Pelodiscus sinensis: one gene and its partners. The protein of the gene in region 4 interacts with the protein of the main gene of each other region in a biochemical or structural test. Links are inferred from orthologs where the notes say so. Each region holds a gene or a part of one and is shown on either strand. Other genes may lie near its edges. The genes, in order: SQSTM1, RNF14, UBR5 and UBE2D2.

The links.
Region 1: of the proteins of UBE2D2 (region 4) and SQSTM1, one has a biochemical effect on the other in vitro, tested with the Homo sapiens proteins (2 studies listed by BioGRID, with this or other methods). The link is inferred for Pelodiscus sinensis from reciprocal best matches to the Homo sapiens genes UBE2D2 and SQSTM1.
Region 2: the proteins of UBE2D2 (region 4) and RNF14 form a complex in vitro, tested with the Homo sapiens proteins (2 studies listed by BioGRID). The link is inferred for Pelodiscus sinensis from reciprocal best matches to the Homo sapiens genes UBE2D2 and RNF14.
Region 3: the proteins of UBE2D2 (region 4) and UBR5 form a complex in vitro, tested with the Homo sapiens proteins (12 studies listed by BioGRID, with this or other methods). The link is inferred for Pelodiscus sinensis from reciprocal best matches to the Homo sapiens genes UBE2D2 and UBR5.

The regions. Positions count from the first base shown.
Region 1 is NC_134727.1:34,414,556-34,422,437, reverse strand, and holds the start of SQSTM1 (sequestosome-1), read right to left. Parts: upstream 3,247-7,882; 5' UTR 3,133-3,246; coding exon 2,964-3,132; intron 1,110-2,963; coding exon 1,014-1,109; intron 1-1,013. UniProt on the Homo sapiens protein: Molecular adapter required for selective macroautophagy (aggrephagy) by acting as a bridge between polyubiquitinated proteins and autophagosomes.
Region 2 is NC_134727.1:24,328,429-24,335,900, forward strand, and holds the start of RNF14 (E3 ubiquitin-protein ligase RNF14), read right to left. Parts: upstream 3,124-7,472; 5' UTR 2,966-3,123; intron 2,863-2,965; exon of another isoform or gene 2,228-2,862; intron 891-2,227; 5' UTR 882-890; coding exon 728-881; intron 1-727. UniProt on the Homo sapiens protein: E3 ubiquitin-protein ligase that plays a key role in the RNF14-RNF25 translation quality control pathway, a pathway that takes place when a ribosome has stalled during translation, and which promotes ubiquitination and degradation of translation factors on stalled ribosomes.
Region 3 is NC_134712.1:34,237,557-34,244,728, reverse strand, and holds the start of UBR5 (E3 ubiquitin-protein ligase UBR5), read right to left. Parts: upstream 3,357-7,172; 5' UTR 3,096-3,356; coding exon 3,034-3,095; intron 1-3,033. UniProt on the Homo sapiens protein: E3 ubiquitin-protein ligase involved in different protein quality control pathways in the cytoplasm and nucleus. Mainly acts as a ubiquitin chain elongator that extends pre-ubiquitinated substrates.
Region 4 is NC_134727.1:3,052,152-3,059,860, forward strand, and holds the start of UBE2D2 (ubiquitin-conjugating enzyme E2 D2), read right to left. Parts: upstream 3,356-7,709; 5' UTR 3,032-3,355; coding exon 3,008-3,031; intron 1-3,007.

The DNA of each region.
Region 1 (7,882 bases), about 31 Mb from region 4:
CGGAAAAGGGATGCTAATGTATCACATGGGAATAGCAAAATCCGCAGGGGATTTAAATATCCTCCACGGTATTTGCATTAACATGGCTGCCGGAAAAAAAGCGTCTAATCTATTCTATTCGCTATTCTAAAGTGTCTAATCTGCATCCCTTTTCCGGAAAAGGGGTGCAGTGTAGACACAGCCACTGTTTACATTTAATTAAGGCTGTGAATGGATAACTTTTCTCCACTTCATCAGCCTGACAACTTCCAGTCTGTTAACATTCCTTAACTTGTATCATGACAGTACCAAGACCCATCAAGTTTGTGCTCCATATGACTACAGTAAGACAACGATGTCTGGAACAATGTAAATTCTTCAGATAAACCCTTGTTTTCTCTAAACTTAGATTAACAGATGGGAAGGGAAGACAAGGAGCAGTAAAACACATGGTTACACAGACTGTAAATCTACAAACTGTGGATGTGTCAATCTTCAAAATTATGTGAGGAAAGAAGAGATACATATGGAGCACTGACTTCAACCAGAGGGCTACTATGAGGCATGCTAAAATACTAATAAAACTGAAAGTCAGGATTTAAATACCCTAATTACATAATATTTAAAGAATGAAATTGTATACCTCTTAATTTGTGGTTAGTGCTAGTCCAGACATGTTTTTTTCTTAAAGTAACTCTAGAAGTTTGAACTTTGTAATACAATTTCCTTGAATTTATTTGACTGGATTTTCTAGTTTGTTTCCCTCTCAGCACAACAGAATAGAATTCCTCCAAGCCTATAAACACTTGTTCTATATTTTATTCAATCTGCCCTCAAGGGACCTGTAGCAGAGTGCCATCCTTGTAGCAGAGACATGTGCTCCTGAAGCAATTAGGGTGTACTCTGCATCACACACTTTCTCAGGGACTCTTTAAGTACTACCTCTGCCATACGCAGTTACCCATTACAGAAACACAAAGTCAGCCTTGCTTCTCTTTTGAGAGCCTCTTTACCACCACAAAACTAAAGATTACCTTTGATGTAAATACGAAAAATGCCATCCTTCACATATGGCAGAGCCATCTTGAATTCTTCTTCACCGGAAAAGGCAATCATGTCGCCATCTTCATCTGAAGAAGACAGATTAATAAATTGGATATAAGTGACAATCAGGAAGAGATGAAAGTAAGTCTTTATGAAAACAAAGTGAAATATGTAGTTTGTCTTAAGTATTTTGCAAATAATAGAGACTAACAATCAAGCAACACCTTACTGCTTTGATATTAGAACTGTTGGGGAGAGGGGTAGCTCAGTGGTTTGAGCATTGGCTTGCTAAAACCCAGGGTTGTAAATTCAATCCTTGAGGGAGCCATTTAGGGATCTGGGGCAAATCTGTCAGGGATGGTACCTGCCATGAGGGCAGAGGACTGGACTGGATGTCCCTTCCAGTTTTGAGAGAGAAATAAAAGGGTTGATTAACTATCCTCATTTCAAAATGGCACTTAGTTTTACTCTCCTCTTTTGCTTAGAGTTCTATAACAACAAATAACTTAGATGGGAAAGAAATCTAACCTACTTGAGAGTTGTATGCAGTGTTGTTTTAGTCCTATCAACCCCAGATTATCAGCATAAAAACTCTCTCCCACCTTGCCCCTCTACTTAAGTAGTTTCTTCCCTACCAAACTATCTTCTGCTTACAAACCACCACATTTGCAGAGAGGTATAGTTTTAAAGACACAAGCCACTTCAGCAATAGTTACAGAATGGAGTGTATGTTTAAATAATTTTACTATGTCTGCAGTACTATGGAGAAGCTATGCTGCAGAGCTATATGTGTTCTTGTTAAAAACTGGCAGTAGTGAGAACAGAGAAAAATCTGACAAGGAAGCAATTTTCCAATAAACTAGAGTTAAATATCACCCGCAGAAAAACAGTCACGTTGGAGTGTATGATCTTTAAGAACTAAATATTTGGCATTGAAATATCTTGGTCTTTGAACAGAATAGAGTTACTGCATGAATGATAATTTAAAGGGGAGAAATGTGAAAGTCTCCTCAATGAGCTAGTCTAGAAACTAATAATACGAATAAAGTATGAGATGATACTGTATAACACTGAACTTCAATTTATGTTAATGAAGGGGTTGGCAGGAAGTAGCAAGAACTTTTCTTTCTGTAATTTGAGCTAAAATTTGAGCTAAAATGAGGCTCACTGTATGTGCTTTCTTTCCAAGGCTGGTCTTCACCCCCAGTGCTGCAGCAGTGCAGCTATGCCATTGTAGCATTTGGTGAAAACACTACTATATTCCCATGGGGTAGTGAATACACCTCCGTGGGAAATGATTGCTATGGCAACAGTCCACAATGTGTTGTGTACAGGGAAGGGATGGAGTGTTAATACTGCCATTAAGCCGACCTCTGGGATGGAAAATCCAGGGGCCTGAGCGAAGCAGTTATACCCACATGTGTGTGTAGTGCTGTAGACCAAGCCGTAGGCATTTACAGAGGTACAGAAAAGAGAAGCCCTGGAGGCAAAAGGGCAGCCTAGCGCATTGTTCCCAGAGCTAGTCTGCTGTCCTCTCTGCATCTTGGGGTCCTTAGACCATTTCAGGACTTCAATATACAGGGCTATGTAGCCCTTTAGAGACTAACAAGATGGCTTATTAGATGACGAGCTTTCGTGGGCCAGACCCACTTCCTCAGACCAATATGTGAGCGAGAGGGGAGAGGCCTATTCCAGGAGAGGGTGGGTGCGATTCTGCGGCCTGCATTGGGCAGGGGGTGGGACTAGATGATCATAATGGTCCCTTCGAGTCTAGGAGTCTTGTCCCCCCCCGGAGCAGCCGGGTGTGGGGCAGGCATCAGGCCGCGATTCTGCCCAGCCCGCAGCATGCACCGGGGCGGTCTCCCTACGGGCTCGCACAGCTCAGGGGCGGAAAAGAGCCGCGGATCGAGCCTGGCCACAGCCGGGCCCGCGGCGCTCACCCTTGTAGTGCAGCAGGAAGGCGCCGTCGCGCAGCGGCGCGGGGAAGATCTCGCCGACCTTGTCGCGCACGTCCTGGTAGCGGGCGGGCGGCGGGAGCGCGAAGCGGCGGATCTCGCGGACCACCCCCTCCTTGCCCAGCAGAAAGGCCTTCACCGTCAGCGCGGCCATGGCGGGCGGGCGGGCTGTGGCGCAGCAGCAATGGGCGGCGGCGGGCGGCTGGGGCTGGGCAGAGCGCGGCGCGGGCCTGAGCTCCCTCCGCCCGGCCGCTCCCCTTATACCGCGGGAGGCCGGGCCTGCGCCGGGAAAGTCCCCGCCCCTGGGCGCCCCGCTAGGGGGAAGGCAGGGCGGGGCGCGGCTCAGGCACCTTCTCAGCGCCCGGGCGCGGGGGGGCTAGATTCGGGGCGGGGTCTGGAGGCTGAGGAGGCGGGGGGGCGGGGCGGTTTAGAATGGGGGGAGCCGGTTTAGAGTAGGGGAGCGGGGGGGGGGCGGTTTAGAGTAGGGGAGCGGGGGGGGGCGGTTTAGAGTAGGGGAGCGGGGGGGGCGGTTTAGAATGGGGGGAGCCGGTTTAGAGTAGGGGAGCGGGGGGGGCGGTGTAGAATGGGGGGAGCCAGTTTAGAGGAGGGAGGCGGGGGGGGGCGGTTTAGAATGGGGGGAGCCGGTTTAGAGTAGGGGAGCGGGGGGGGCGGTTTAGAGTAGGGGAGCGGGGGGGCGGTTTAGAGTAGGGGAGTGGGGGGGGCGGTTTAGAATGGGGGGAGCCGGTTTAGAGTAGGGGAGCGGGGGGGGGGGCGGTTTAGAGTAGGGGAGCGGGGGGGGCGGTTTAGAGTAGGGGAGTGGGGGGGGCGGTTTAGAATGGGGGGAGCCGGTTTAGAGTAGGGGAGCGGGGGGGGGGGCGGTTTAGAATGGGGGGAGCCAGTTTAGAGGAGGGAGGCGGGGGGGGCGGTTTAGAATGGGGGGAGCCGGTTTAGAGTAGGGGAGCGGGGGGGGGCGGTTTAGAATGGGGGGAGCCGGTTTAGAGTAGGGGAGTGGGGGGGGGCGGTTTAGAATGGGGGGAGCCGGTTTAGAGTAGGGGAGCGGGGGGGGCGGTTTAGAATGGGGGGAGCCGGTTTAGAGTAGGGGAGCGGGGGGGGCGGTTTAGAATGGGGGGAGCCAGTTTAGAGGAGGGAGGCGGGGGGGGGCGGTTTAGAATGGGGGGAGCCGGTTTAGAGTAGGGGAGCGGGGGGGGCGGTTTAGAGTAGGGGAGCGGGGGGGCGGTTTAGAGTAGGGGAGTGGGGGGGGCGGTTTAGAATGGGGGGAGCCGGTTTAGAGTAGGGGAGCGGGGGGGGGGCGGTTTAGAGTAGGGGAGCGGGGGGGGCGGTTTAGAGTAGGGGAGTGGGGGGGGCGGTTTAGAATGGGGGGAGCCGGTTTAGAGTAGGGGAGCGGGGGGGGGGGCGGTTTAGAATGGGGGGAGCCAGTTTAGAGGAGGGAGGCGGGGGGGGCGGTTTAGAATGGGGGGAGCCGGTTTAGAGTAGGGGAGCGGGGGGGGCGGTTTAGAATGGGGGGAGCCGGTTTAGAGTAGGGGAGTGGGGGGGGGCGGTTTAGAATGGGGGGAGCCGGTTTAGAGTAGGGGAGCGGGGGGGGCGGTTTAGAGTAGGGGAGTGGGGGGGCGGTTTAGAGTAGGGGAGTGGGGGGGGGCGGTTTAGAATGGGGGGAGCCGGTTTAGAGTAGGGGAGCGGGGGGGGCGGTTTAGAATGGGGGGAGCCAGTTTAGAGGAGGGAGGCGGGAGGGGTGGTTTAGAATGGGGGGAGCCGGTTTAGAGTGGGGGGGGAGCCCGAGGAGGAGATGCTGGGGGGGTAGATGGGGGATTCGTCTGTGGATTGAAGGAGCTGGAGCCTGAAGAGATGGGGGGGGAAGGCGGTGGCGGCGGCAAGGGCGTGGCAGGTGGGTGGGGATGGGACGAAGGGGGTACGTAGGGCTTGGCACTGGCAGGTAGTGGCACCTGATCCCAAGTAGGTGGAGAAAGCACGCAAGGAAGCGGCCTTGTGAAAGCCTGCAGTCACCGTGACTCAGCACTTTCCCCCTCTGCTGCTGTCAGAGATGGAGGGGAGGCAGGCCTGCGGGGCACTAGCCACCCACCAGTCGTTCTGGGTGGGGGTACAGGCCTCCCCAAGGGCCACAGACCATGTTGCTTGCCCCTGGCTGCAGGGACGGCCAGAAAGATCCACAGAGCTTGAGACTGAAATGAAACCAATGTCTAAAGTACAGTTTAGAAAGATGTCATTTGATAAAAACGTTTTATTTAAAATAGTTTTAATCTATAACGTCAGTAACAAGAGTTAACACATAGTTATATGTGCAGCATCCAAAGAACCCAGTCAGAACTGAGGCCCCATGATACTAGGGGCTATACAAATACAATACAGATGTGTACTGCTCTAAAGAAATGCATTTTAAACAGCTATTACCTTTTGTGACACTACCTTATTTTCTTGTACAAATTACTAACCATCCTAAGTCTGTTGTTGATGAAACTGGAGACAGTTACAGTTAAGGACAGTTTGTGTTTGCTATTTAATCCATTATACTCATCACAAAAAGTAATATAATACAGATTCTGCTGTGCGTTGGACTCCCTGAAGTGTTTTGCAAACCAGCAGGGAGTGAGACACGGTTGCAAGATTCAGAAATCTGCACATTAGAATTGCAGACATATTATTTTTCATCAAGTGCCTTTTCATCCCTTTAGATCTCTTGTGTGTTCCCCCCTCTTTCTGGTTGTCTCTTATATTTCTCCTCTTTTACTCTTTCCACCCCCAGTCTTTTTTGCCTCTTCTAAAAAAACAAAACAAAAAAAAACCCCAGCAGTTTCTTTTAACTTGTTTCTACTTTAACAGGACTTTTAACTCCATGCTACCTTCAAGATTTCATCTAGTCCACTTTTGGCAATGGATGTGCTGAGGAAATCTGTTTTCCAGCACAAAAGAATGAATAGTTCTAAAAGTGTAACAGGAAACAAACATGAAGGTTTTCTGTTTTGTTTTGTTTTTAATCACAATACAAAGCTGTATAATAAGAAAAATAACTGAAAGGCAGTGAGACATGACAGATAATATTTAATGTCTCCAGCTTTCTATGTAGTGGAAATAAGATTCAGTTCACCTGAAAGTGCTTTAACAAATTTTCAGCACTCTCCAGTAAATGCCAGTTGGTTTTGATATTTGAGGGCTGTCAGTGGTTTTAAACATGATTAGTTAAACACAACGGCTGCGTCTAGACTGGCAAGTTTTTCCGCAAAAGCAGCTGTATTTGCGCAGGAGGGCCAGTGTAGACAGCTAAAAAGTGCTTTGCGCAAAAAAGCCCCGATGGCAAAAATGGTGATCGGGGCTTTCTTGTGCAAAACCATGTCTAGATTGGCACGGACGCTTTTCCGCAAAAAGTGCTTTTGCGCAAAAGCGTCCGTGCCAATCTAGACGCTCATTTCCGCAAATACTTTTAACGGAAAAACTTTTCTGTTAAAAGCATTTGCGAAAAATCATGCCAGTCTAGACGTAGCCAACAACATCTGTGCATCATTCAGGAACATGCTTCTGTTATTTTACAACACAACGTCCAAGAACCTCTGGCATGGAGACATGACTGTATAACTTCTGCTATACCACAATATGCTATCCCAGGACCTGCAGCACTGAGACACAGTAGTGTTACTGTACCTCATTCTATGGCAAACATGGCATTTAAGATCCTTTAGTCTAGTCCTGACTAGTTGTGTTGCTTCCATAATGTTATAGACTGAGCAATGTTAGGCAGGAGTGGTTGCTGAATGGGGTTCCAAAATCTATGCTCTTTGATAATCAAAAGGTGAATGTGTCAATTCACAAGATTTACCTCATACTCAATAGGTAGCATATGCCTGCCCTCCTCTTAGTACATACAGTTAAGTAATCATGCTAATAATCTCTCCTGGATCTGGGTTTTTGAGACTTAAAAATAGATGCTTGCTGACATTAAGAAGGATGCTTGTGGGCTTTCCAAATTTGTTGGCAGCAATATTTGCAGATCAGATGCAGTTGACAGGACTCTTAATCAGGTCAGATAAGAATCCAGCTGGCAGAAGAGCTGTCTGAACCTTCCAAGTGTAATTAAAGATGGATCAATGAGTAGTAGGTTCCCAGTTGGTATTAATATCGTTTCACTTTAAGGGCCTGTTGCCCTGATTTTTAGTGACATACTTCTTAACCTAACATAATGAGAAATCTTGAGAGGCCTTGTCATGAATTAAAAGTTCTTGAGGGTTAAGGAAAAGATTCATTTATTTTTTAATAAGATTTTTTTTTTATTTGAGAGACATATTTTAGACTCGGCAGTATATTTAGCTTCCTGGTTAATCAATGAACACAAGTTTAATTTTTAAATAATTATGATGTTATTTATTTAAAGAATATTTTATGTTTATAGTAGACAGAATTGTTCCTTTTCATCTTCAGAAGAACCACTTGAATTGCTTGGTAATAATGTTTTATGGCCACTGATCCATTTTGAAATGACGAGTTACTGTTTAAACCCATGACCAGGTAAATAGTGCTGTGTCTGTAATGAAACATTTTACTAGGTTTGTGAATATAGGTACATGATGGGGCTAATGATCCTAAACATGAAAGGGTTTGTGGTCAAAACAAAGATATAATCCACTAGCCCTCCCTTGTTTACGTCATTTAAATTTGGAATTATTTGACAGTGTTGGTAAAAGTTACTGACTTAATATTATGGGAGACTGAAGTCTTCTGTTTATCCACAAAATAAAAACAGAATGTCCACCAGCCATACAAAGATCCTCACACTGTTTTTGCCAATGTACCTCAGCCATTCCCTAGCAGACTCACCTCTAGGGTATGCAGACACTCAATACAGCCTGGGCTCGTCTACACTGGCCCCTTTTCCGGAA
Region 2 (7,472 bases), about 21 Mb from region 4:
ACTGTGCAGGGGGTCAGACTAGATGATCATAATGGTCCCTTCTGACCTTAAAGTCTATGAGTCTATGAGTCTATGAAGCAAAGGCACCTCTCTGAGTTAATACCCACTTCACAGACTGTGAAGCTTAAAAGAGATACAATTAAAAACAGAATTAAACATAATTTCAAGTCCCTCGGCCAAAAGTTTAAAAGTGTGTGTTTGTTACTTGTTATTCCCGTAGCCAAATTTGGCCTATACAAACAAGGAAAACAGAATTATTGCATATGGGAACCAATGAAGCTAACTACACACGCACTATTGTGTCCAATATAGAATTCAATGCCCTGAACAAATACAAAATAATATTTTCTCAAAGTTGACACTTACAGTAATGCTCAGTGTTACCTGTGATAGTAAGCAATATTTCTTTAAAACATTTTAAAAATGATAATGTACTTTATCTAATATTTCAAAACTCAAGAGTCTTGGGTGAAAGGCACTACAAAAATGCAATGCAATGCAAAAACACACTAGATGGACATGAAAGTAACTCAAATATCTACATCAATTTGCTTCTAGAGTCCCCCATGGAATAACGTAATGTATGACAAATTGTTCCTGACTTTGATGTTTCACGAAAATAAAATAAAAATGTTTGGGGAGCCACCTTTGGAATATATGTATGAAAATATAAAGTATTTTTTTTATAAAAAATCATTTTAGAATAATGAAAAACATCTGGACTCACCACTCACAAATATTTTGAAATTTTGGGGCAACTCCAGACAAATTCTTGTTTCTCCTCCTTGGGCAGAGTCTGCCCTCTTAAATTCATCTTCATCATAAATACTAGCTAATGCCAGCAGCTCATCCTCCTGAGCTTCCTTATCTTCTGAAGACATTTAACTTTTCTGCAGAATTAAGAAACCAACCAAAAAAATCAAGGACTAAATAGACAATTTGAATGGTCTGTGTGTGTGCGTATATATATAAATGTCACTGAAATGAAAATAAAAAAAACCACAATAGCACAACATAAAAACATACCATACATAATTACTCTTTTTCTTCCAGTTACAGATCCCACACATGCTCTATCATTTGTTGGCAGTTTTAAAGTTCTAAAAAATGGCTCTCTTCAAAACCCAGATAATCAGAGACTAACTCTTAGAAAGTCAACGGCTGAAGAACACTATAGAATGAAATATGTAAGGCAGTGCTAATAGTATCAAGGTTACACTTTATTCATTTGATGAGATGGAAATCGGAGACTGAAGAAAGAAAAAAAATGACAGCTTATGTAGCTGTACCCAGGCTATCTTTAAATAACTTACTAAAGAAGGAAGCGAGGATGTAATAGTGGGCAGCCCAAGACCATTATGGTCCCCTGGCTATGTGCCTGCACTACCAGCCCACACTGCCTTGTTAAACTATCTAGCTAGATGAAAGATAGTGCAGGTACCTCTCTACACTAGGGTTGCAAAAGTTTAACCATTTAACTGGTGGGGCTGGAGCAGCTCTCCACCTGCCACGGGCCGGAGACTACTCCAGCCTTGCAGGGGCTGCTCTGTCCAGGACACCAAAAATTAGCCCTCCAAAAAATCCCTTCCATTGAAGTATTGTCTACATTACAGAAGCACAGATGTACAGCATACATGGATTCAGACTCCTGCAACACTTAGTGCTTGTCTTTGCTGCAGTTAAGACTTAGTTATAACTCAAGTATTGCCCCTAATCCAATACCTGACCACACACAAAAATCTTAAGTGCAGTGACACTTTGAACTCAGGTTGGCTGGCTGGTCAGGGGAGTGCAGACTGCAGCTCAACTACAACAATCCCTCAGCTTCTCTCACAATTGTTTGGAGGCAAATCAAATAATATTTCCAGTTCCCAGTGTGCCCACTCTTGCTGGAACACTTAACTTTAGCCTGGGCAGCTTGAGTTAACACCACAGAGTCCACTAACTCCAGACCAGTGTCAAACACATAATGCTCAACACCCAGGGCAGTAATACTCCAAGTGTGGTCCATGACCATCTTGCAGGTGGGCCACAGGCTCCTCCCCTGCAGTGGTGGTCCAGTCCCACAGTCTTCCTTGAGAGGTTGGAGTGCCAGCACCGGCTTCCCACTTTGCAGGGTGGAGGAGAACCTCCCAGGCCAGATCTGGCTTGTGAAGGAAGTGGCTCCACATTCTGCCACTCGGTGTTCCCTCTAGCCAGGGAAACAGCAGTGCAGGAAACAGCTCACCTGGAAGCTTTCCCTGCTGCTCCCATTGACTGGAATCACAACCAATTGAAGCAGTGGGGGCATGAAGCCAGGTAAACACTAAGGATGTTAAATATCCTGTAATTGAACAGTCGTGTAAACACATGAAATCTTATCATTACATGACTGACTAGTCGATAGTCCCCGGGGCCAGGGCTGGCAGCCAGTATATTCCAAGGAGCCTCCTGCCAGCCTCTGATAGACAGCAATGCAGGGTGGCAGGCAGGAGCTAGAAGCACAGAAGGGAGAGTGGGTAGCAGGTGGCACCGGGGAGCTGGTGCTGGGGAAGGGGGGAAAATGGGATTTTAAGGAAGCAACAGGGGGGGAGGGGCAGGTAGGTCCAGGGAGCTGACACACGCAGGGAGCCTGCTTGAAAGCGGGGTCCTCGCAAGTATCAGCCCCAGCCTAGCCCCTTCGGGCCGCTGCCTCCATCAGAAGTGGGGGCGGCAGACGGGTCCAGGGCTCTGGCCCGCACAGGGACAGGGCTGCGAGGGAAGGGGAAGCGCCTGAAAGGAGACGCCGGCCTGGCACGGGCGCTCCCACGGGACTTTAGGAGAGAAGCGTCAGGCCCCGGATTCTTAGACACTTTCCCAGGCAGCCCCGCCCTTCCCCTCAGGGCTGCCCGGCTCCAGTCGCCTCAGCACCCCCGTCTCCCGCGCATTGCCAGCGCCGGGCCCCGGCCGAGCTACGGACCGCGAGCCTCCTGGTCCCCGCTCTCACCTGGGCCCGGGCGGCCTCCACCGCTTGTCCGCCCCTCCCCGCACGGCCGGGCCCAAGAGCGGCCCCGGTGAGCTCTAAGCAGCGCTGCCAGGAGCCAGCGCCCCCTGCCGGAGGGAGGAGGGCCCTGCGGAGCGGGACGGGGGAGTGGCTGGTCAGCGGGCCGCGCGGACAAGAGGAGAGGAAGGTCTGAGCGGCGCCCGTCTACGTCCAGCCGAGGCGCAGACGCGTGGGAGCCCAGCCTGGCTTTCCCGAGGCTGCGAGCCCTGGCAGCTCCAGCGCTGGAGAGTGCGGGGTGTGTTCGCCGCCGCCTGGCCCCCAGCACGTGCTCTAGGTGCTAAGCGTGCGGGGACCGGAGGAGAAAGCACGTCCTAGAGCAGAAGCAACTTCGCCTACCAAAAACCTGCCTGCAGCAAGAGCCATGACTGCCTTTTAAACGAGGCTGCAGGGAGCCTCAGTGGGTGTGGGCCAGCCCAGTGAGCAGCCACATCACCACGCCTCTTCTTTCAAAATAATGGGCTTATTTCAAATTAACACTGCTGCTTGTATTTCAAAGAGTTATTTGGGGAGGTACTGAGGGGTTAGTATAGACTAGTAATGGCAGTGCGGACCAGTGCTCCCTTTAAGATTTTTCCAACTGTGAGAAGAATGAGTTTTGGCTTGTGCATCAATATTGAGGTTTGGCTGGGCACCACCATGACTATGCTGACCATACGGCCCAGAAAATCTGGAAGAGTCCCAAATTTTAATTGCCTGTCCAGGTGCCCCATAAAACACTGAAAACATCCCAGAAATGGCAGCATAGCTACACGTGGCTGCACTTTTCTGTTTCTTCTCCTGGGGAAAACAGGTGTGCAGGGACTTTTGCACAGATTTTTCCTGCTGCGCTGGAACCTAGCCAAAGCAGCAGGAGGCAGCACCTGACTTCTGGTGCTCTGGCAGGAAGGCAGTTCTTGCCTGCTGCTGCTTTACCAGCATGACTCCTAGGTGGCCCCCTTTGCTGCCTTTTAAACTTTGAAGGAGGAATAAGAGATCCTCCGGAAAAGGGCTTTATTCCAGAGGATCGCACCAGTCTAGATGCTTTTTTCTGGCTTTTCTCCAAGCCGGAAAAAAGCGGTGGACATCTTTATTTAAACCCCCCGCAGATTTCCCTATTCTGAAGTTGAAAATTAGCATGCCCCTTTCGGAAAAGGGGCCAGTGTAGACGTAGCCATAATGAACTAAGTTATACTGTTTTAAATGCCACTAATGATAGATCTCTATTTTAGAAAACTTAACAGCCAATAGTCTGCAGGACCTCAGACTACATCTACACAACAGAGCTATTTCAGGCTACTTCTGGTATTGTCAAAATACCACTATTTCAAAATTAAATTCAAAATGATCTTATTTGGAGGCATAAATTGTGTAGCTTAAATCAAGGTAAGGGTATATTTTTATGCATCCTTAGACTAACAAAAATGTAGATGATTCATCTGAAGGAGTGGTTGTGCCCACAAGAGCTCATGATACCATCTACATTTTTATTAGTCTCTGGGGCTCTGTCTACACTCACGGCTTCTTGGGCAAGTATGACTGTTCTTGCGCAAGAATCTGCAGAGCCTTTACGCTGCCCGCACGCTCTTGCGCAAGGAAATTTACAGTATGGTGTGGTAAGAGGGCTTCTTGCGCAAGAGCTATGCTCCTTAACAGGTGTAAGCCCCCTTGCGCAGGAGCTCTTGTGCAAGAGGGCAGTGTGGACACTCAGCAGGGATTTCTTGCACAAGAAAGCCCTATGGCTAAAATGGCCATCGGAGCTTTCTTGTGCAAGAGAGCATCCACACTGCCATGGGAGCTCTTGTGCAAAAGCATAGCATGCACATGGCAGTGTGGACATTTTCTTGCACAAGAACCCTTGCGCAAGATGTTCTTGCGCAAGAAGCCGCGAGTGTAGACATAGCCTAAAGGTGCCACAGGACTATTTGCTGTTTAAGTTTCTTGAAACTTTATTTTGGAAAAATCACTAAAGGTGAAAAAAGCAATCCCATCAGATACTGCAAATTCACAGGGCCTTGTGTAAATTCAAAACTTGTGTCACAGGAATCAATACCTTTTATTGAACCTTACCCACCTTGTGTGTGTCAAACCAAAAACTGCTTAAATTCTCACAGGCAAGAAATTGCATTTTAACATTGTTAAACTTTTTTTAAAAATCAGTTACTTTAACCTATTATTCCAAAACTTGGAGGAAGCATGTTTATGCCCTTCAATGCAGAATTTAAAAAAAGGGAATTTCGTTTAATTATAATTCCATTTACTTCAAAATGACAAACGAAGCATTTCAGGGATGATGATTGCAAATAAGTGATAGATTCAAAGTTGGTAAATAAGTATCCATCACCATCACAACTCAAGCAATGCTGTTCTCCTTTTAATTCTGGTTCTCCTAATTCAGTTCCTTATGTAATCTTGCCTATCAAACTGTAAACTCTTCCTAGGAAGGACTTAACTTTACTGATAGTTTAACAAGCTAGTCTAACTGGAAAAATGTAACAATAAATAGTCTAGCAGCACTAAAGACTAACAAACATGTAGGTGATATCATGAGCTTTTGTTGTACCCACAAAAGCTCATACCACCATTTACATGTTTTGTTAGTCTTTAAGGTGCTGCTAGATTTTAAGTTTTGATAGTTTACACATTTAAGAAATTGTGGCCTCTTTTTGAAAAATACTTTTTGCATTGGTTGAAATACTAACTTGATGAGTAACATTGCTTGTTGCCTGTGTTAGCTCCACCATGGGCGGGAGGGGGAAGAGGAGATGGAGAAGGGTGATGGAGAGAATCAAATGGAGCATAATCTGTAGGTTGGTTTCTCTTCAGAGTACACAATGTATCCAGGATTTCAGTCACAACTGTAACTTAAAATGTACTTCAAATTTTGAATCCAATTATACTGATCTTTCAAAAATATAGCATCCACTACGCTAGCCACATGTGGCCATTTGGCTGGTTGAGTGTGGCTTGTTTGTAAAAGCAATAGAACTGGTTGCACACCACAGATATAGAGCAAGTTCTCAAAAATAAGACATCCCTTACCCACACACTATCAGAAGCAAAAGGAAATCAGAACTATCTGGAGGAGACAAGACAACTATAGCCTGAACAAAGTTACAAAAATAGCCAGCCTTTGCACAAGAGCTGTTATGTTTGATGATAGCTTGGTCTGGCTATCATTTGTACAGCTGACTCAAGAATAACTAAGGCCATATTTTATGATCAGATAAATTAAAGGTATCTGTTCTTCTAACAGCTAGTACCAGCAAAAGACACACTGAAATCAAATTTGAATTCACGCAAGGTTGACTCCAGCAACTGAGAAGCCACATCCCATTAGAGACAAATAACAGTTTATGATAAGTTGTTAACTATTCTGAAGCAAAGCATAGTATCTAATACCATCAATATGAGCAATGTAAAGCAAGGATGCAGCCAGTGATCTTCTGTGTTTTAGATAATTGTTTGAAATTCCCCTATTATACTGACCTTACACACCTATGGCTACTTAACATTTGCTGAATCTTCATATATCAATGGGATTCCATCCTCAAACAAGCTTTTTGAAAAACAGGAAGTATAGTTAATTGGTGGAACTAGAGGATGGAAAGGGAAGAGGTGTATGATACCACAGGTTTCCAGTACTTTCACTGAAGGATGAGTGGGATTATAGGAGTGTTAGTGGTGTAACTAGAGCTAGCACTGAAGTAATTCAAGCTAAACTGATGAAGGCTGATGAGTCCTAACATTAGCTCAGAGATCATTTGGAGCAGTACTTGTAATGTTTCACAGTAGGCCGTATAGCACTTTTTCTTAAAATGTTTCCAGTACTTGAAATGGGTGCTGCAAATACTATGAATTACGAGTTCTGGGAGCTTCTTGTGAACAGGCACTGTACAGGAAATATTGCAAAACTGGTATTATCATTTAACAGCAGGTTAATTAGCCACAACCATTTACCTTAAGATATTAAGATGTATACCATTTCTGATACCCCATAAAATTGATTTAATTGAGCTATAGTAGAAGCACAATGTTCTAATTAATTTATTATAGGAACACAAATTCTTTCATTTGTCTGGAAAGAGCAAATGAGCAGATTGTACACACTGCAACTTCTTGTTCCTTCAAATACATCCCTGTGGCAAATAAATTGATTAGTGACAGACCTCAATTCTATCACCAACCTAAATTGTAACAGTTACCTTGGCCACAGTTGACAATTAAAAAAAAATAACCCAGTACAATCCAGTGAATTTATTTCTTGTAATGTGTGGATGTTTCAACTTTTGATTTAAAACATACAAAATTAATGTTTTCAGGTTTCTATGACAATTATGAATACTAGAAGCCAAGTCACAGAGCAGCTCATTAAAAAAACCAAATTTATCTTACTGGAAGATAATAAAACCAAGCATTTCAAATGCAGGCCTTATAGAAGCAAGTACAGCTGAAGCCCTTTCATCTGGCACAC
Region 3 (7,172 bases), on a different chromosome or scaffold from region 4:
TTCTCCCCATACCAGGGTCTCCCAATCTCTTCTCACTAGAGGGTTGTGTGTCCACACAAGTTGCATGATCCCCCATTCTACCATGCATACGAGGTTCTTTGCTTACATCTCCTTTCCACATTCCTCCTCTCCCACCATAGCAGGATCCCAGATCCAACACTCCAAAAGGGGCTGTGTGTTTCTCCTCTTTCCCCTCTCATTTCCAGTGTTCCCCATTCACCCCACTCCCAAGGTTTGTGCTCAAATGCCTATTCCTCCACTGTTATTTTCCGTTGTCTGGTAGGAAAGTAATTAACATCTTAATACCTTGAAACTCTACTGGGAGGACACATGGAGATGAGCCAGATACTGTTATGCTGGAAGGCACATCTCCTGTCATTTTGAAATTGACCAGATATGATATTCAAACCATACTGCATTCCAGAGAAATGCAGATTACAGGCAGTCCCCGGGTTACGTACAAGATAGGGACTGTAGGTTTGTTCTTAAGTTCAATCTGTATGTAAGTCGGAACTGGCATCCAGATTCAGCCGCTGCTGAAACTGACCACCAGATCTGACTTACATACAGATTCAACTTAAGAACCCCAGGCGTCCCCAAGTCAGCTGCTGCTGAAACTGATCAGCAGCTGATTCCACGAAGCCTGGGGCAGAGTAACTCTGCCTCGGGCTTCCTGTAGTCAGCGCTGGTCAGTTTCAGCAGCGGCTGACTTGGGGACGCCTGGGGCAGAGCAGCTGGGGTGCTGCTGGGTTGCTCCAGTAGCACCGCTCCTCACTCCCTGGTGCTACTGGACCAACCCAGCAGCACCCCAGCTGCTCTGCCCCAGGCGTCCTGATTCAGCCACTGCTGAAACTGACCAGCAGCGGCTGAATCAGGACCTGGGGCAGAGCAGCTGGGGTGCTGCCGGGTTGGTCCAGTAGTGCCCAGAGCGGCGCTGCAGGACCAATCGGCAGCGCCCCAGCTGCTCTGCCCCAGGGTCCACAACAAAAGCCTAGCTGCGCCCCCCCCCCCCCCCAGCAGACCAGGGACACGGGGAGCAGAGCCGCAGCAGCAGCGGGGTGCCGCGCCTCTGAGACTTTGCCAGAGCAAAGCCTCAGAAGCGCGGGAACCCGCCGCTGCTGCGGCTTCAGTCCTGGTGCCCCTGGTCTGCTGGAGACGGTCTCCAGCAGACCAGGGGCACCGGGAGCAGCTTACAAACGGGGCTTTCTCGCCCCAGAGCTCGCAGGCAGCAATCCGCCACCTCGACTTCCGGGGCGAGAAAGCCCCGTTCGTAAGTGCGGATCCGACATAAGTCGGATCCGCGTAAGTCGGGGACTGCCTGTAGTTGAATGCAAGGCCTCTGAAAGCTTAGCCAAAAACAAGACAGGTAAGGTGTAAGACAAATCTGGAGTGTTACTTCAATATACTTGAACCAAGGTTGGTAATTACTTGTTCAACAATGGCCTCATCATATTTTTGAAAAAGATGCTGGTGCTTTCAAGATCAAAAATCTTCATAAACCAAAAGTTAGGTGAAGAAATGGAAATATCCCATCATAGTATTAGTGCTCACAATTTTCCTCCTGCTGGAAGCAGATGCATACCATATGTGAAGGCATTACTGCAAAGGAGGTCAATCTCCCAACAGTAGTTAGGCTGCCTCCTTTGAGAAGCACATGACGAACAGTGCCTTATAAGATGTGTCACCAGGTCACCCAAAAAATTTACACCCAACTAGCAAGAGTTAAGTCACAGGCCTGTTTTATCACTACAACTCTCTCCTCTGTTTAAGAACAAAGATGGAGAAGTTTGGGTGAAATATCATCCTTCCAATGACTTACTTTGCTCATTGTTAACATTATAAGCCCTTGAATTGCAGATGTAGTTTAATGGAGAAGTATTTCGGCCCCCACCCCTCTTTTCTTGCTGCAAATTACTCAGTGAGACAACATAATGGAAGTTTTCTAGACCTATATTCAAATCTGGGAGGCTGCAAAAGACAGAAATAAATATCCAAAGGCTCTCACAGCCTGTTCAGAAACAAGTTTATTTAGATTTCCACCCTATAACTAAAATCTAGGTCTTCTGTATTATTAACCACAGATAATTTGACAGTGAATTAATATAAACTGAGAATTTATCAGTTCAGAATCTATTAAGATTTTATATTGTGAAATTTACTAACTGCAGAAAACTATTAATGACTACAAAAGAAGATATCAACAGAAGAATCTGAAAATGTCTCACACCTCGAGATTTAAATAAAATGTTTCCTTCTTTCCCCAGACTAGTATAGTTTCTTCACAACCTATGTTTATCACTGCATAATCTTAACTATAACTGGAAGATTTCCAAACATCACATTTAAAGATGCAATGTGTTTCCATGCCTCTTTCTCTTCCCTGCAATAGTGCTCAATAGTGAGCACTTTACAGAACAACCCCTTTCAAACTAAAGGCCTAAAACCAAGTCCTTATACTTTCCTCACGCTTCCACTGTATCTTCCATGATATGCAATTCCAACTACAGTGTCTGTCAATTCATCGTTGATTTGTATGGACAAATTCCTACTCCTCCTCAGCCTCCCTCCAGGAGTAATTAGAACCCACTTCTCACATGAGAAGCCTGGTACAGCCCCAGTGTCTCCTGGCCAGAAAAAGCTGGGCGGAGAGACACGGGGACTCACTCTCAAAAGTCACGATCCCCCCCGGGACCCAGAGTTTGCAGTCTCGGGGGACTATCAGGAAACGACCATGCTTTGAACGTGCAGCCCAGACGCGTCCCCGGGCCCAAAGAGGGCAGGGACATCACCCACAGCAAATGGCTGCGGGGAGGGGGCTCGGATACATCAGACCCCGTGCAGAGAAGCGGGACTCTTCCCCTCCCAAGCCCACCGGCCCGCAGACACGCTCACGGCTTCCCTGCCCGCCGCCCAGCCACCCGCCTCTCTCTGGCCGCCAGACACATGGGCCCGCCCCTCCCTCCCATGTCCCCCAGGGGCCGGGCCGCGCCCCTCCCCTCTCCGTCCCCCTCACCCACGTGGGCCTCCCCTCACCGGTCATTGAGCTGGTCCTCGGTGCCCGGCAGCGGGTGCACCACGAAGTGGATCGATGTCATGTTGCGCTCCCCCCCCAGAGGCGGGCAGAGGCCGGGCACACAATGGAGGCGGGGGAGGGGGAAGCTCGGCGTCTCTCTCGGGGCGGTGGGGGCGCTCGCGCTCGCGAGCAGCGTCCTTCCCTCCCCACAGCGATCCGACGCAGAGTGGGGCGCGGGGGCCCGCGGCGGCAGGGTCAGGAAGAGACTCGCACCGCGCCGCACTCACACACGCGCCGCCATCTTAACTTCCAGCGGCCCCTTCTCCCTCCCTCCTTGCGCCGCGCCGGGGTGGGGCGGGGCGCCCGCTGAGCGACCGCGATGTAAGCTGCACGCTTACTGGCGCGCGCAAGGCCTATCGGCGGTGTGGCTGTAAGGAAGTGGCGGATTGGGCTAGCGAGCCCGTAAAGCGCGACTACGTCGGACGCAAATTACATCAAGGCCACGTGCTCCTGGGAGAAGCTGGGGGCGGGGAAGCGCGTATGGGGGGGGTTGCGGCGCGCTGCCCGCTCTGGGGAGGCGTCTGCGTGTCGCGGCCCGGCTCGCGATGGCGGATGGGAGACTCGGGCCTCCGCGGCTGCCTGTGGCCTCTTGCCGCTCCCTGCCTGGGCCTGAGCCGCCTGGGGGGCGGAGCTGGGCGGCGGGGAGACCTCAGGGGCCCAGGCCGGCGGCGGCTGGAGGCATGAGAGCGTGCGGGCCGTGAGGGGGCGGCGTCCAGCCTCACGCTGCTGTCCGGCTACCGGGCTCGGCTGGGGCCCCTGACCGCCGGGCGAGGGGCGTTGGCGGCGGGTCCGGCTTCAGCAGGTTCATTGCCACTGACAGCCGCAGGCTGGAGTGGGCCAGGTCTGAAGTGGGTTTTGCCCAGGAAAGCTCATGATTCTCTCTAGCTAGAGACTGGCTCTAAAGCGCCACGGGGCCACTTCTCGTTCTTACAGTCGTGCTGGTAGCCAGCTAACCAGTGCGTACAGGAGTACAGCCCCTGACAGGCCAACGGGCTCCAGAACAGGCCTATGCCATCGTGGGGGGTCTTGAAGACTTTTTTGACTAACAGGGTGGCAGGGATGAATACCTTTCCTTGCCCTAAGCAGCTGTGTAGACTGTTTAACCTTGTTTCAGTTGCCTGAGGAGGGGGAGATACTCAAACAACTGAACTGGTGTTAAAAACCATTCACAGGTGCTGGAGGGGAATAAAGGTAACTTGACTATGGATTTAGCCTGATACATTTGCCTTTGGGTCAGCATGTAGAAAGCTTATTGTTGCAGTATATACAGTTCGTAGGGATAAGTAATGGTAGTTTGCAAAGCAAGCAAGAGGGCTATTTCACTAGCACTAAGCTACATTAAATAAGACTTCCCCTCCCCACAATTACAAACTAGTGCATACTCACATGCACTACCTTGTCATATATCGGAAAGCATTTATTTAAAATATTTATACTAACACGCTGGAAAACTGAAATTTAGTTAAAGTTTCATGCTGGGTTTATTTAATTGATCATATTTCTACATATTGAATAATGTCAGTGAACGGCTGCAAAACCATGGGTTTTTTAAAAGTCTAGGAACTTCCTTAATGGAATAAACGTGGTCTACTAGTCTAGTATAATGTTTTCAAAGCCTCCAGAGCAAATTGTTTTGGACTTGTGATCTAAGAATCCTGCATTGTTCACTTGTGATGGGGAGATCTGACATAGGTCTCAGCCTGGTCAGTTAGTTATTGATTTAAGCCTTAAAGCACAAGCTTTAATATACTGGTCAAAAATTGACTTTAGAGATAACAAGGTAGTCTTGCTCTATGTGAGAAATATTGTCATTTGTGCATATTTTTTTAAAAAGCTTCCTCAGTCACTTTAGCAAGAGTTATAAAAATGTCTTTATAAAACTAAGTTTTATTCAACTCTCCTTAACATTTTATCTACACAGTGATTATAACTGTCTTGGGAAATAGTTATAACACCGGTCAAAATTAAATTAGTGAATCACTTGCTAACAATATTTTCAAAAGATTCAGTAATGGCAGATAAGGTCAATTTCTTAATAGGATATACAGGCAGTCCCCGACTTACGCGGATCCGCACTTACGAATTGCTACCTGCGAGCTCCGGGGCGAGAGAGCCCCGTTCGTAAGCTGCTCTGGTGCCCCTGGTCTCCAGCAGACCAGGGGCACCGGGCGGGTTCCCGCGCTTCTGAGGCTCTGCCAGAGCAAAGCCTCAGAAGCACGGGGAACCGGCCGCTGCTGCCGCTTCAGTCCAGGTGCCTGTGGTCTGCTGGGGACCGTCCCCAGCAGACCACAGGCACCGGGACTGAAGCCGCACCCGTGGCGGGGTCCCTCGCCTCGCTGCCGCTGCGGCTCTGCTCCCGGTGTCCCTGGTCTGCTGGGGGGGGGGAGCGGCTAGTGTGCCCCCCCCCCAGCAGACCAGGCTTTTGTTTTGGACCCTGGAGCAGAGCAGCTGGGGCGCTACCGATTGGTCCTGCAGCGCCGCTCTGGGCACTACTGGACCAACCCGGCAGCACCCCAGCTGCTCTGCCCCAGGTCCTGATTCAGCCGCTGCTGGTCAGTTTCAGCAGTGGCTGAATCAGGACGCCTGGGGCAGAGCAGCTGGGGTGCTGCTGGGTTGGTCCAGTAGCGCCAAGGAGCGGTGCTACTGGAGCAACCCAGCAGCACCCCAGCTGCTCTGCCCCAGGCGTCCCCAAGTCAGCCGCTGCTGAAACTGACCAGCGCTGACTACAGGAAGCCCAAGGCAGAGTTGCTCTGCCCCAGGCTTCCTGGAATCAGTGCTGATCAGTTTCAGCAGCAGCTGGCTTGGGGTTCTTAAGTTGAATCTGTATGTAAGTCAGAACTGGCGGTCAGTTTCAGCAGCGGCTGAATCTGGACGCCAGTTCCAACTTACATACGGATTCAACTTAAGAACAAACCTACAGTCCCTATCTTGTACGTAACCTGGGGACTGCCTGTATACTGCCACAATATTTCCTATTCACTAAGTTGTAGTAAGTGATTCTGAAACAGATCGCTAAAAGAGTTCCTAAAACTGAACATTTCTGAAGCATTGATAAAGCAATCCTAGTGGAGTCTGTGGTTTGGTTTTTCCTTCAGTAATGTCACCTTAAAGAGCAATCTTGGTTTCACATTAGTTTTCCTCTTTCCCTTTCTCCACCCTTTTCTCAGCACAGGAGGGAAATTCCATTTTTGTCACACACACACACCCCACATTGAAGGGTTCCTCTCCCTTTAAGGAGAGGGTGGGAAGGAAATGTAGCAAATGGAAGACTATAAAAAGGAAGTACAGTGCACTTGATCACTTTTTAGAGCAGCATTTCCCAAACTATGGGCTGCGGCCTGTTACTGGGATGCGGGAAAAAAATACCGGGCCTCAGCGTGCCTGGTGGCTGCTGGCAGGGCCAGCCCTAGGTCGAATTGGGGCCCGCGCCCTTGAACCCGGAAGTGCTGGCGAGTTACAGAGCTGAGGGCCCTGCTCCACCAATATGTGGAGCTGGGTCTCTTTCCCCCGGCTCTGCCTGGAGCAGGCCCAGGCCCCTCCCTGCCATGCCTGGCTCCTCCTTGCCAGCTGCTGCTGCCCATGTGCAGTGTTGCCCGTGGGCGGGGAGGATGCCTGGGTGTGACGTAACGTCACGGGCTGGGATTTTAAAACTTCTCAGAGGCACATTGCAGGGCTGCCTCTGGGTTTGGCCTCCAGGGCCTGAGAGCGGCCCCTGGCCCCGCAACGTGGAAGGCAGATGGCAGGAAACTGGCTTGTGCGGCGGTGGGGGGGAAGGAGAGGGTCTTGGGAGGGGAAGACACCAAGGGACAGGGTGCAGGAGAGACAAATGCCAGGGGGCTAATTACAGACAATGACGGAAAGGGCAGGAGGGGAGGTGTTGGGGGGGGGCAGGGTGATGCTGGGAGAGGAGAGGGCAAGGGCATTGGGGACTGAAGGGGGAGGTGCTGGGAGAAGGCTTGAAAGAAGGGGTGGGCATGAGAAAGGTGGGGATGGAGCAAGGCATGTGTGAGGGCACAGAGGAGCAGGAGGGGAAAAGGGCAGAAAGGGCAAAGGGGGCAGGGGCAGTAAGGGAAGGGGGAGGCACCAAAGTTGAGTTGCC
Region 4 (7,709 bases):
ACTTACAAATGCCATGCAATCACAGCAGAAATGCGCTGCAAGTCCATTGCTGTGTGCATCAGAACAGAAATGGCCCCACAGATCTCCAGTCACCGATTGTACCTTTTATCCAACTTTTGTTGGAGAATCTAAACAAGTAATCCACACTTGAAAACACTCAGGAAGGATACACACATGGGGTTTGAACTCAAAAGTCAGTAATCCAGGCTGGATCTTGTTTTGGAATAGTCTGCCAAACAAGTGGCGCACTAAGTAGGTTGGCAAAAGATTCCTCAAGAGTCTACTTTTGGACAGCTGTCCCTTGCCAATATTTATTATGAACTATGAGGATGACTACTTAAGAATTTCTTGTAACACTTTCCAGAGTAAAAGAGAAACTGATGGTCTCATGCAAAAAGACTAGGAGACAAGAGTTTATAAACATTTTTAGCCTGCAAGGACAAGATTTTTAGGTGCATTTTCCTGCAAATACGTTAAATAACTATGTACTGAGATGTACCATATAATAATGACATTGTAAGATCATGAGCTGCTGAATATCTGACATCTATGATCACTTCACCCTCCACTAACAGTTAAGAGTTTAATCGGTGATGCCAATACAGGTTGAACCTCTCTAGTCTGGTACCCTTGGGACGTGAGTGGTGCCAAACCAGAGAACCTGCCCAATCACGGGAAGTCAATATTGCCCAGCAGATTACCAATACTTCCATTGCTTACAGGATTCTCAGAAGACATGTAGGGGTAAATTAGAGCTAAACCACAGCACAGCAAGTTGACATAGGGACCGATGGCTGTAAACAAACGTTATGGACCATGGAAAAAAAAAAAAAAAAAAAAAAAAAAACTCGGCCACACCCACGATAAGTGAACATCCAGCTAACATTATGCCATACCACAGATGTTGCTGGACTGGACAGTGCCAGACTAGAGAGGTTCAACCTGTAATGGCATAACAGATTAAAAAGGGAAGAATAGATTAGGAGACTTTAGTAGGCCTGCCCATCAAAATACACGAATCTCATACACGGTAGCTTCAGATACTAAACCAAATTGGATGGACCCAGAATGTTTACGCAGAGTAAGATGATCAATTAAGGCTTTCCCTAGAACAGTGGTGGGCAATCTGCAGCCCATTAGGATTCTGTGTGTGGCCTACAAAACATTTTATTTTCCTATTGTTACTGAAGTGATATGTATGCAAACTGAAGTGTGTGTTGATGCCACATGTTGACTATGAGAGCTCTATGCTCCCTCTGCATCCAATGAAACCACTGCTATGATTCAACTGGCACACTCCAGAAATTCTAGGTACACAAGCACAGTTAGCAAGACTACCCTATCCCGGGAAACTGTATGGTTATGACAATCTTGCAGTCCACTGAGATTGAGGAGGGCCACTCATGAAGCCCATTCACTAGCCTGGGTTGCTCATCACCTCTCTAGGTTTAAAATTCTTACTTGGTATTTTTCCCTCAGCTAGAAGCTCAAGTACATGTGCCTATTAAGTTGCCATACACAACACTGAAGTTAAATAAAAGCCAGCTTGCACTTGAGGAGGACTTCCTGCATTTCAGGGTTAGATGGCAACTCCTACAAAAAAAAAAAAAAAGGCCGCAAAAGAGAACTCCTGGGCAACAACGGACATGGAGGAGGGAGAAGTTTTGAGGCTTCCCTCAGATCCTAACAGGCTCCCTGCCCCGGGTGTGACCCCAAAAACCCCAGGCCCCCTTCTGACTCCGAGGCTCCCTGCCCCGGGTGTGACCCCCAAACCCCCCAGAGCCCCCTTCTGACTCCGAGGCTCCCTGCCCCGGGTGTGACCCCCAAACCCCCCAGAGCCCCCTTCTGACTCCGAGGCTCCCTGCCCCGGGTGTGACCCCCAAACCCCCCAGAGCCCCCTTCTGACTCCGAGGCTCCCTGCCCCGGGTGTGACCCCCAAACCCCCCAGAGCCCCCTTCTGACTCCGAGGCTCCCTGCCCCGGGTGTGACCCCAAACCCCCCAGAGCCCCCTCTGACTCCGAGGCTCCCTGCCCCGGGTGTGACCCCCAAACCCCCCAGAGCCCCTTCTGACTCCGAGGCTCCCTGCCCCGGGTGTGACCCCCAAACCCCCCAGAGCCCCTTCTGACTCCGAGGCTCCCTGCCCCGGGTGTGACCCCCAAACCCCCCAGAGCCCCCAGGCCCCCTTCTGACTCCGAGGCTCCCTGCCCCGGGTGTGACCCCAGACCCCCCAGAGCCCCCTTCTGACTCCGAGGCTCCCTGCCCCGGGTGTGACCCCCAAACCCCCCAGAGCCCCTTCTGACTCCGAGGCTCCCTGCCCCGGGTGTGACCCCAAACCCCCCAGAGCCCCTTCTGACTCCGAGGCTCCCTGCCCCGGGTGTGACCCCCAAACCCCCCAGAGCCCCCTTCTGACTCCGAGGCTCCCTGCCCCGGGTGTGACCCCCAAACCCCCCAGAGCCCCCTTCTGACTCCGAGGCTCCCTGCCCCGGGTGTGACCCCCAAACCCCCCAGAGCCCCCTTCTGACTCCGAGGCTCCCTGCCCCGGGTGTGACCCCCAAACCCCCCAGGCCCCCTTCTGACTCCGAGGCTCCCTGCCCCGGGTGTGACCCCAAACCCCCCAAACCCCCCAGAGCCCCTTCTGACTCCGAGGCTCCCTGCCCCGGGTGTGACCCCAGACCCCCCACCTGGACTCCTCCGAGCGGAGCCCGCGCTGCGGCCCGGCCGAGCCCTGCCCCTGCCTTGTGCTGCCCGGCGTTACAGGCAGCAAGCGGGCTCGTGCGCCGGGCCCGGCGGGAAGGCCCAGCCCCCCCCCCCCGCGGGTTCCCCGCTTTCGCTTTCCCCCGGCCCGTGTCACCCGCTCGCCGCCCCGCCCGGCCCGGCCCTCGCCAGGAGGCCGCGGGGCCCGAACGCACCTGCCGGCCCCGCAACAAAGAGAGGCCCCGGGCCGCGCGGTTACGTAAGGGGGGGCGGGCCCCCCTGCCCGGCACACGGGGGGGCGCGCGGCCCTTACCTTGTGGATTCTCTTCAGCGCCATTGTGTGAGGGGCCCGGTGCGGGGGGCTCGCTCGGGATTATTTCGCGGGGGGAGGGGCGCGGCGCGGCGGAGTCTCGGGGCGGCGGTCGGGCCTCGCTCTCTGTTCCCCCCGGCGGCCGCTGGGCTCTTGCTCGCTGCCGCAGCTGCTACCGCATCACTCCGCGGGGCCTTTATGCGCTGCCGCCTCCGAGGCCGTATCACTCCGCCACCATCCCAGTAGTCACCAGCGGGGCAGCCGGGCGGAGGGGGAGCAGCACCTGGTGATGGGGCCCGCTCGGGCACGAAGGACTATTTTCCCATTCTCCTTACACACAGAACTCTCCAGAAAGGGGTCCGGAGAAGCGGAGGGATACGATTCAGGGAGGGGGAGTGAAATAACTTCTCGCGAGAAGAGAAAGAAAGAGGTTCCGGGAGAGGTAGAGTAGAAGGAAGGCCTAGTGCGGCTGCGCGGGGGGGGGGGGAGCGTCGGGAGGTTCCGCGTCGGGCCCGGTGCTGCTCGGAGAGGGCGGAGCCTGTGGGCCCCCCCCCGGGCCTCTTCCCCCCCCCAGGGGCTTGTCCTCCCCCCACCCCTAGGGCCCGGACACTCCCCTCCCCCCGTCCTGTCCTCCCCCTCCCATCCCCTCCCCCCTCGTCCTCCCCCCACCCCTAGGGCCCGGACACTCCCCTCCCCCCCCATCCTGCCCTCACCCCGGGGCCCGGATCCTCCCCTCCCCCCCCGTCCTGCTCTCCCCCTCCCATTCCTTCCCCCCCCCGTCCTGCCCTCACCCCGGGGCCCGGATCCTCCCCTCCCCCCCCGTCCTGCTCTCCCCCTCCCATTCCTTCCCCCCCCCGTCCTGCCCTCACCCCGGGGCCCGGATCCTCCCCTCCCTCTGAAGCCCCCCTCCGTGCTCTCCTGGCCTTTCGGGAGCCTGTACCCCCCCCCCCCGACACCACAGTGCCCCGCGTGTCACCCCCTGGGGGCCTGTGCTGCCCCTGGAGCACCCCCCTCACGCTACTCGGGTCTCCCCTTCCTTGGGGGATGGTGCCCCCTGTGCGGTCCTTCCCCCCTCCCCTGAGGGCCCCATACTGCCCTTCCTCTCCTCTGGGGCTCTGTGCTGTCCCCTCCTTGCCGCCCTTCTCTCTCCTAGAGCCCTGTGTTGCCCTCCTCTCTCCCCTCCTCTCTTCCCCCCCTCCCCAATTGGGGGCCATGCCCCTGCTATAACTCCCTGAGTTAATACCTATGCCCTGGGTTTCCTACTCCTGGGAGTGGGCAAGGTTAGGTGCACTTTGGCCTACCCCTAAAGGGCTGGGAATGCTAAGTCTCAGACTCTGCCTTCCTGTGTGGTGACCCACATTGTGATCTAAGCCACAGGCAAGAGAGATAGAAAGGACTTTCTCTGAAAGTTTGGGTGAAAGGAGAAGTTGGAGGCCTCTTGGAGTATTGGCTATCTGCACAAAGGCTAACCCAGTGAAAGTACACAGTCTGCGCTAGAGGCAGTACTGAAAGGCCCTAGTTGGGGGTGACGGAGGAGATTCTGTTTTCATGTGCTAAAGGCGCCGCTATAATAATCCGTCTCCTATATTCCCCCATGGTGTTAGATGATCCTTCAGTAGGATCAAGAAGGAATCCTGTCACCACGCAGACCAGCCTGAGAAGCTACCTTTTTTTCCAGATTGCAGTTGTGTGGCAAGAAAGTATGCTAAGTATCTGGAAGAATAGATCTTTGAGTTGTACCTTAACCCTGTGCTGATGCTTTTCCCACCTTTCCTCTTCTTGCCATCTTTGATGTACATTTGGTGCCTTGCACATAGTGTACCATGTAACAGCATTTGAAAATAGTTTAAGATGAGTTGCGTGCACATTTGATCCAGCTAAAGAACACAGTGAAAAATCATGTAGTTGAGCACATGAAGGGACAAGTTCGTGGCAAAGTTTGAGCTGTAAAATACAGAATTATGGCACCCAGTTTTCTGACAAATTGTTCGCAGCTGTCATTCTACATGTACTTTTGAACAGTAATTCATCAGGTTTATTACAGCAATGCCTAGGGCTAGCGGCATTGTGTGAACACAGAATAGTAGTCAATTCCTGCTCTGAAGAGCTAACACTCTAAATACACAAGATGCACACAAAGTGATTGCAGCAAGTGTCATGTTCTATGATTTTTGTGGGGGAGTGCGTTTACTTAGGCAGGGATAAGCTAAAGGAAAAGTGAAGGGAATTGTGGGGATTGGGGCAGGCTGCAGAAAAGCAGGATTGGTGAAGAGTGAGGGAGAACACAGCCAGTTAGCACAAGGCCGAGAAAGTCCAGCTGAAAATGTAGAAAGTGCTGCTAGGCATTTTCCTCAGCTTTGTCATGTGCTGGGTAGAAATAAAAACAGCAATTCCAACTATTTAACCAGCTGCTTAGCTGGAAGTATCTGATTTTTTTTAAACTGATTATGCAGCAACAGTTATGTGTTCCCAGCACTTCATCACTAATAACAGTGGAAATCTTCATCATGACTTATTACCCATTTGGAGTATAATAATAATACGAGTCACTACCTTTGAGTAAGGAAAAGAACAAAATCAACTTGCTTTATTGGTCTTACCCCTCGGTTTCATATGCTTTCTGATTAGGGGTGTGCAATCCAGTCACTACTTGTTCTAGCGGTGTACTTCTGCAAGGAAGCCACCATGGCACTTCAGGAAAAAGACATTTCCCTTAGCAAGGATCCTCTGTGACGATTCAAGCCATCTGGAGACCCAAAGCTGAGGAAATGGCTCATTAGTTCAAGTGAGCTGGTAGATGAATCATTGGCATGTAATCTACTCTTGCTGACACAAAATTGGGAGGGTTGGACAAAACAATGTGGAAACTTCCTTAGTTGCACTCTCCCTAATACAATCCAGGTTAAATGTTCAACATCCTTTCAGGATGGGGTTGTAACAAGTACAAGACATATTCACTGGGGACCCTATCCTGAAGGAAATCTTTCCTGAACCTTCCTCCTTAAAACACCCCCAACATCTCTAAGATCATCATGAGACACAAGCTCCCCGCCAACCCTGCCAATACAGATGCAGAACCAACATATCAACACCACTGTAATGATCAATACCCCCCTCAACATACCTTTCAAGGTCCATGGGCCCTACATGTGCCAATCTCAACATGTGGTGTACTTTATCCACTGTATTACATGACACCAATCACTAAGTTCTCAAGTGAGCTCACATAAGAAAACGATAAAAGTCAGAAAAACACTGGATTACCTATGGGTGAACGTTTATCACAAAGTGATCCCTCCATATCTGACCTATCAGTCCTCATCCTCAAAAGAAACCTGCACAGTACTTTCAGAAGATGAGTCTGGGATCTTAAAAGTCATAACTTTGCTAAATACTAAAAGGTATGTTCTTAATAAAGATACCAGGCTTATGGTTTATTGCACAATCTGAAACCTGCTAGCCCCTCCCCCTGCACACTTTATTTTTGGCCCTACACGGGTGTTAACAGGCCACTTCACCTTGAATTGTCCCTTAGAATATGTGCTAAACAATTTGGACTAATTTATTCATTTAATCTTGTATTTAGTTGTGACACTGAACTTTTCCCAGAGAGCTCTGTACCTCAAAACTTGTCTCGCCAACAGAAGTTTGTCCAAAGAAATTGTTACTCCCTTTGTTTTGCTAATACCCTGGGACTAACACAGCTACAAGACTGCATACAAACACTGAGTCAAATGCAGAACACTTGTTGGGTATGACACACCGTGCAAATGTTGCCAAACTTCTAAAAAAGGCAGAACTCCGAGATCTCTGAGCCAGATATAATGCTTCAAGGATTTGCCCAGGATAGGGTTTACAGTATGGCTACGTCTACACTGGCATGATTTTCCGGAAATGCTTTTAACGGAAAAGTTTTCCGTTAAAAGCATTTTCGGAAAAGCGCGTCTAGATTGGCAGGACGCTTTTCCGGAAAAGCACTTTTTCCGGAAAAGCGTTCGTGGCCAATCTAGACACGCTTTTCCGCAAAAAAGCCCCGATCGTCATTTTCGTGATCGAGGTTTTTTTGTGGAAAACACTACTGTGCTGTGTACACTGGCCCTTTTCCGAAACAGTTTTCCGGAAAAAGACTTTTGCCCGAATGGGAGCAGCATAGTTTTTCCGGAAAAGCACTGATGATTTTACATTAGATCATCAGTGCTTTTCCGGAAATTCAAGTGGCCAGTGTAGACAGCTGGCAAGTTTTTCCGGAAAAGCGGCTGATTTTCTGGACTAACTTGCCAGTGTAAACACAGCCAATGTGTAGGGGTTAATCCTACACATCCATTTGTGATTAGTGCCTGTTTCTAACCCAGCGGCAAGTTGCCAGGTAACATACAGTTAGGCTATGTCTACACAGAGATACCAGAGGTATCTTGAAATAGCTATTCTGCATCTTGTGCCCATTATTTGGACATAATGGGTTTGCTGTTCCAACATCCCTGCAAACCTCATTCCACGAGGAGTAAGGGACGTTTTGGAATAGCGATGTATTTCCAAATGAGTAGTCTGTAGACAGTGCCAAATTTTGAAACTTGAAATAAGCTACATAATTTGCGTAGCTCAAATTGCATAGCTTATTTTAAGCTACAGGTACAGTGCAGACACACCCTTATACAGGCAGTCCCCGGGTTACATGGATCCGACTTACATCGGATCCCTACTTACA